Xenopus tropicalis: one gene and its partner. The protein of the gene in region 2 interacts with the protein of the main gene of each other region in a pairwise test. Links are inferred from orthologs where the notes say so. Each region holds a gene or a part of one and is shown on either strand. Other genes may lie near its edges.

Region 1 (3,715 bases), on a different chromosome or scaffold from region 2:
TGTAGTTCGGCCCTGACTATTTTCCCCACTGTGTCGCGCTGAGCCCCCTTTAGCTAATGAAAATCCTATGTGTTCCATTTGAAGCACCGGCGAATGATCCGAATGGCGACAGCAGCCAAGGTGAAAGAGAAGCAGCAGGTAAAGGAGCTGCAGAAGATGAAGAAGGAGGAAGACAGACCGGTTATCCCTGCCGATCCCACAGAGTCTGTGTTCTATACTCCAGCTGAGGAGAAACCTCAGACCATTGAGACGGAGCCACCGGCACCCAAGCCCAAGGTGAAGAGGAAAGACAAGCAGTTCAAAAGGCAGAGAATGGCTAAGAAACGCATGTGATGTTTGGGGGGCCGGGTATTGGGGGAGGGGGTATTAGCACGGGGTATGGCTGTTTTGTATATTAAACCTTATCCTAAAAGCTATTCTGCTGCTGTATGGGTGCTTTTCATTCTTTATTCTTAATGTAGATTTAGGTCATAAACAGGCGGCTGGCTTGTGGGGCATTTTATTTAACGCAGAAAACACTGTATGTTCCCATAGATGGATGGAGCCAACTAAACTAAGTAACCAATGATAATATATTGCCTGGCACAAGCATATCTGGCTCCTCCGCCAGCACCAGCGCTTTGTATCCGGATTCAGCAGTTAGCGTTCAGATTCCCAATGCACCTTCATGATTAATGACCCAAACAGAAGGCAATGACGCTCTTGGCAAAACAATGTTTTTATACTGAAATAAATACAAAATCTTGCATGATCTAGCATGATCTGGGGCACAGCAGTAGAAAGATATACATTTGGAGTAGGAAAGACTTATCTGGATATCCTGGCTACTTGTTGCCTTTCCTTGCTTTGCAGTCCAAGTCTCATAATCCCACTTTATTCCCAGTAGGAGATGTTCAGATATTCTGCATTCCTTGCTGTTCTCAGTCTCCAACCACTCCAGACCTGGCAAAAAAAAAACATTTTTTTTTTAAATTTTTGTGCGCTCCACACATTGTTGTCTGTGCTGAATTGCCAGGCAGCTGGGCCAGTATATAACTTACCTCTTCAGTGTGGTGAGGAGATTTTGTGTTCCTTTGGTTTTACTGTGCTGGGATCCATACACTGCAACCTGAATGTCTGAGCACTGGAAGAATAAATGTTAGTAGGGTGAGTGCATAGTATTGCTGGCTGCACTGTATGTGTATAGGGTCATAGCACTGTGGCTGTAGGACAAACAATTCAACCTACACATTATAGTAACTGTCACTAAAACTTGTGCCTTTTATATGGTCACAAAACCACAGAATTCCCTGTATAACTCAGCCTGCAGCCTTGTGCCTTTATATGGTCACAGAATCCCTCAGTGACTTCTAATATCCTTATTTACAGTAGGGTGTACATTATCCCTTATAATACATGAGTAATATTCCCTGTATAACTGCCTGAAGCCCTGAGCTATACCCCCATATTAAGGCACAGTAAGGCACATTTACTTATGCATGGTAAAGCGTTTGGTACCATAATATTCTCTTAAATGTATGCATTAACTCCAACCGGACTATACACTGATATTAACTGCTGGTTGGTTGCTATGGGTTTGCACCATTTTGCTGTATAATCTCAATATTTTGAGGAGACCCCTATACAGCAAAATGCGCTAGTGTGGCTATGGCAAGCTGCCCTGTAAAGCATGGGGAACTGCTAGGCAGTACTGTATGACCATAGTGTGGTTACGAAGCCAGTGGTATCGCCAGTCCAAAGAACTGAGCAGACACTTCCATAAGAACTGACCTTTTTCAGCAGCTTGTAGCCTTTCTGTATCTTCCCATCGGCTAAGCATATGCTTCCCATTATACTAAGGATCTCAGCCAGCTCTTCACTAAATTCTGTCTCCGTCCTGACGGCCCCTCGGAGCAGCTTGTACGCTTCCTGCAGCCCAAGACAAATGAATATACAGCAAGTCCTACATCTCAGTGGGGGGGCTGGGCAGCGTAACAGACATAATGGGAGTGCAGGTGTTTAGGCTACAGATGGGGGTTGCAGGTTTAACCTTTCTGTTCCAATGTCCCAGCATCAAAGATCCTGTGAGTATTTAGCAGCCAATTTATCACAATATTATAGGAGCCAAATGGCAGCAGTGTTGAACTGGGGCCCCCAAAGCTCAATAGGAGTGCCTGGAATGCAGGGCCCGCTCTGACACTAATTAGGTGCAGAAACCACTTGGTGACACTGCTGTTATATATTCTTGTGGGGAAGATAAAATTGCCTGAAGGAAACCTTTCAAAGCTACTACACTGTGGCAGGCATCTGCTATTCAAGCCCTTTAGTCTGACCCCAAGCAGAAGATTTCTTTTCTCACTCTAGCAGCCAATCGGGTCAGGTGACTTATAACTAGGCCCCCCTATAGTCAGATCTCAGTCTATTTAGAATGTGCAATTTGCCCTCATATAGGAAAATGATCTAGGGGCACTTATTTTGCTGCTGATAAAACAAGTGTAACTCAAGGGATGTAGGAGAGAAGTGTGGTCCACGTTGGTAGGGGCATCAGTGCCCTGGATTTCCTGTGTGGACCAACTTGCCTTATTAAATAACCCCACATGTATAAGTTGTGCCTAGAATGGCGAAATTGCCCCACCAGATCAGTGTAAGCACAGCAAGCAGTTGCTGGGTTGCATTAATCTGACTGACCTGTGGCCCAATGAGTCAGTTTCATGCTGACCAATGAAAAGAGGGGGTTATTTGTCAGCCATATACATTTCGGTCTGGTTTCACCAAATGATCATGAGAGGGTGGTGAACATGTGATACAATGAACCAGTCCCATGGGAGGCTGGCCACCCACTGTAGGGAGATGTAGGGGCAAGGCATGCCATGCATTCCTACCTGCTTCTTCCCAATCTGGATGAGCCACTTGCTGAATTCCACACAGGCATTCAGTGTCCGGGGGTCATCAGGACCTGCCGCTGTTTGGTAAGCGCCGAGGCTCTCTGTGAAGAACCTTTGTGCTGCCTCTAATAACAGAAACACAGCCTGTCCATTATATGGCGTCTCCCGTGCTACAGATACCACTGCTCTCAAACCTACAAACCTACTCACGTAGCACTTGTTCCTGTGAAACAACACCTTGTAGGGCCTGTTCTATGTATAGAGCCTTGGTGCCACCTTATTATTATTATTAACATTTATTTATAAAGCGCCAACATATTCCGCAGCGCTGTACAATAAGTGGGTTTCATACATTGGACATACAGAGTAACATATAAAGCAATCAATAACCGATACAAGAGGTGAAGAGGGCCCTGCCCAAAAGAGCTTACAATCTACAAGGAGAAAGGGTTGAGACACAAGGTGTGGGAATGGGCATGACCAGAGTTGTGAGAGGTGTGGCACAGGGTGTTGCTAAACTAGATTAGGGTAAGCTTCTCTAAATAAATGTGTTTTTAGAGATCTATTGAAGGCAGAGAGATTGGAAGAAAGTCTGACAGTTTGTGGGAGTGAATTCCAGAGAAGGGGGGCAGCCCTTGCAAAGTCTTGAATGCGAGCGTGTGAGGAGGGAATGAGAGAAGAGTTGAGGAGCAGGTCAGTAGGGGGGTAACAAGCGGGTTGGATGGTACCTAGAGATAAGTTCAGAGATGTAGGGTGGGGCAGAGTTATGAACTACTTTGTATGTGAGAGTCATTAGTTTGAATTTTATCCTGGATGGTAGGGGAAGCCAGTGCAGGGATTGGCAGAGTGGC
Region 2 (3,834 bases):
CTTCACGCTAGATAAAGAAGTATGTCATTTCTGCAAAATGGTCACCTAATTTCTGCAAAAAGGACACCTGCCTCATTATTGGAACAGAGGTTTGTTGTTTTGGGGGCTGTCTTACTAGCTTATTGTCTGACGATGTTTTTTTTTTTTTTTTTCCTTCTTCCTATAAAATGTAGCTGACCCTCAGAAGCGGACTATAAAAAAGTTAATTTATGCTGCCATGGTATGTCTTGCATTTATTTATTTTTTTCATTCCTGTATTCATGTTTTTCATTTTGTGTGCATTTTGTCTCAAATTTTCTGGGCTGACTTTAGAAATTGTTACTGATTTTGGTAAGCAAAGATTTCCAGAAGAAGGCTGATTTGCCACTACAGAAGGTTAACTGCACTATTTATCTTCCAGTATGGAAAATAAATCTTACTGATGGCACTTCTTCCACCCGTTTCCTTTTCTTCATCAACACATATGAGCAAAAGTTTGCCAAAACGCTTGAGTGTGACCCAGCTGCAATCAGTAGATAGAGCTTTTAACAATGTTCAAATGTGCAGTGAAAATCCAACACTGCACACACTCCAAAAAGCTTTATGCAGTGGTGCTTGAACCCCTTATGTTCTTCCCCCAGTCAGTTGTATATGTGTGTACATTTGAGTGCACTTTTACACTTCAGAACATTTAATAAAAGTAATAGGAATAATCCTATATGTTAGAATGGATGAAGGGAATATATATTTATAATGTAAGGTGCGTATCGCTGCCTGCTATAGGTATCCTTGTAGAAACAATGTGTAATAAATATACGTGTGTATATATGTATATATATGTGTGTGTGTGTGTGTATATATATATATATATATATATATATATATATATATATATATATATATATATATATTATACTAGATAACGAAGAAGCCGCTCTCACAGGACTTATGTACAAAACAAATAATCTTTTTATTAACTGGTGAACTGACGTTTCGCCTGAAAACCTCAGCCTTTCTCAAAGTTATATAAAGTTATGTATGTGTATGTGTGTGTATGTGTATATATATATATATATATATATATATATATATATATATATATATATATATATATATATAATATATATATATATATATATATATATATATATAATATGTCAAAGTCTCAACAGGCACTCACTTTAGAACTCTGGCAAAATGCCTGGGTGCAGTCCATAAAATGAAAATAATGTAACAAAAATGCAAGGTATATATATATATATATATATATATATATATATATATATATATATATACGTATAAATAAATGTCAAGTTTAAAAAATTATAAAAAAAAGTTATAAATAGTGCTTGTTTATGTTTTTGTACATTTGTTAAGACCATCTCTTACCATAAACAGCTAAATGCATCATTGAGAAGTACAGAATCGGAAAAGAAACAGTTGTATGATAACCTCTCTGATGAAATGAAAGTCAAAGAACAGCTTTTAGGTAAGTTAATGATTCTGTACAAACCACATATGGGAAAAAACACAAGTCTTTTTTACCTTCCCCTTCAGCATCACTTGAGACTCCAGCATATTTTTTACAAATCTTAGCTGCATGAGTGAGGGGTTACTTAATAAGGGACTGCTGTTGAAGTATGCATATAGTGAATCTGGTTCATACTGTGTGGGTGCAAATTTACATTAGCATACAGACCTCCTTGCCAGAAGTGTCTGTAGAAGGTTACTGCCTTCATAAAAAGTACTTCAGATTGTACAAAGCTGGAAATCCCCATGTGATTAATACACTGGGTTACATTCCCCCCGCTTCTCAAATATGAACATTTTTCTATTTTTTTCCTATATCTACTTACATATAGAATTTGAACCCCATTATGTAGCATTTTTTCTTGGCCTCTGTGTTTCCAGGAAAGAATTGCCTGGCAAGTACTTGAATAAGAGCTTTCAAGATATTCTCACAGAGGGCAACAGAGAGCAATTTCAGTCATGTTTGTGTGTGTGTGATTTGCTTTATTGCCCTATGACCAAATAATATATTCCCAATTTTAGCAGACATCCAATACTAGTCTGTGTATAAATAATGGTTATGCAGATTACTTCTCTCCATATTTTTTTTCTCTTTTAAGGAAACGTATCTATTGGCACTGGTAAATGTATTACATTGCCATGTTTATTACATACATGTTTCTTTTCTTCTGTCAGAATGTATTAATAATCTTCAAAATACTAAGCAGTCCCTGATCTCTGAAAAGGAACAGCTTGAAGGAGATGTGGAAAATATGAAGCACAAAATGAGTGTGATGTCAGAAATGTATCAAGAAAATGAAAAGAAACTTCACAGGTATAATGTTGCATAGCTACAGAAACTGACATTGGGATACTACTGTAGCAAAATCAGAGCAGCTTTAGGGTACAGGTATAGGACCCATTATCCAGAATGCTCGGGACCAAGGGTATTCCGGATAAGGGGTCTTTCCGTAATTTGGATCTCCATACCTTAAGTCTACTAAAAAATTAATAAAACATTAATTAAACCCAATAGGATTGTTTTGCATCCAATAAGGATTATTTATATCTTAGTTGGGATCAATTACAAGGTTCTGTTTTATTTCTACATAAAAAAAGGAAATCAGTTTTAAAATTCTGAATTATTTGCTTATAATGGAGTCTATGGGAGACAGGCTTTCCGTAATTCGGAGCTTTCTGGATAACGGGTTTCCGGATAAGGGGTCCGATACCTGTATATGCAGCACAAGCACAACAGATAGTCATAGAAGCAAGTTACTACAGTAAAGTTGTTAAAAGGACATACATTTTGCTTCTAGCTTCTCTCTCTCTCATAAATAATATCAGTATGTATTATGGTATCAGTCATGTGATTGGTGTATGTAGGGATCTGTTTTTGAGATTTACTTGCAAGACTACGTGCTTCATGCTAGAGTTTCTAACAGATGCATATATTATTGATCTCCTATACTTGAAATTTACAGACTATTGTACAATCATATACAATGTGACCTAAGCACACAGTTTTTAAAATTGTTCACACACAAATGTTTTTGAGCACCAAACCAAGAAGAAATTAGAGGGAACATTGGTCAAATACAAAGTTAAATTACATGATGAGTATATGAACTACTTGCACTTTAATGCATGGTGTGCCAGTAATTATGCACTTTCTATTTGTGTTGTGTTCTATATTTGCATTATTATCATTTCAGAAAGTTGACCGTGCAGGAGAAGGAGCGTATTCAAAAAGAGGAGAAGCTTTCAAAAGTAGATGAAAAAATACATTTGGCAACTGGGGAACTTTTGACTGTCAAGTAAGAGAATAAAAATACATAGATAAATCCTAAATAGAGTTATAAGCTTTGCCATGAAAGGATTTTAATGTTTTGCCCTCTCATGTCCCCAACAGGACACGGGTGAAGGAACTGGAAGATGAAATTGAGAAAACAGTCTATTCCTACCAAAGTCAGGTCTGTTACTTTTGTTGAACTGCATGAAATACTTGAAGACATTTTGCTATGGCTGTATTTTTAGCAGGGCGTTGGAGCGAATCCAAACAAGGCTATATTTACATTGTGGTCTTTCCAGCTGCTAGTAATGATAAACAGCCATTATAGGTAAAAAAAAAAGAGTAGAAAGATTGCCAGCACACTGTTTCATCCCTTATAAAATGAGAATTTCACTTACCTCTTATCGTAAATTCCATTTCTTCTAGTCCCGACATGTCAGTACGCATGGGCAGTATTGCCCCCACAGCTAGGAGGTAGGACCTATATACCAAAGCCAATCAAAATTAGCCCTTACCTATAAGACCATGTGACTTCCTCCTCACCACTGTTATAC

The links.
Region 1: the proteins of mia2 (region 2) and ttc23l interact in binary tests that used the Homo sapiens proteins (3 or more experiments, as listed by UniProt). The two-hybrid records come from large-scale screens. The link is inferred for Xenopus tropicalis from reciprocal best matches to the Homo sapiens genes MIA2 and TTC23L.

What each region holds. Positions count from the first base shown.
Region 1 is NC_030677.2:199,192,357-199,196,071, forward strand, and holds the end of ttc23l (tetratricopeptide repeat protein 23-like), read right to left. Parts: intron 2,990-3,715; coding exon 2,862-2,989; intron 1,909-2,861; coding exon 1,771-1,908; intron 1,124-1,770; coding exon 1,041-1,123; intron 943-1,040; coding exon 921-942; 3' UTR 700-920; downstream 1-699. Other genes in the region: brix1 (ribosome biogenesis protein BRX1 homolog), read left to right, coding at 85-333.
Region 2 is NC_030684.2:90,883,527-90,887,360, forward strand, and holds part of mia2 (melanoma inhibitory activity protein 2), read left to right. Parts: intron 1-173; coding exon 174-220; intron 221-1,377; coding exon 1,378-1,468; intron 1,469-2,184; coding exon 2,185-2,323; intron 2,324-3,203; coding exon 3,204-3,305; intron 3,306-3,400; coding exon 3,401-3,461; intron 3,462-3,834. UniProt on the Homo sapiens protein: Plays a role in the transport of cargos that are too large to fit into COPII-coated vesicles and require specific mechanisms to be incorporated into membrane-bound carriers and exported from the endoplasmic reticulum.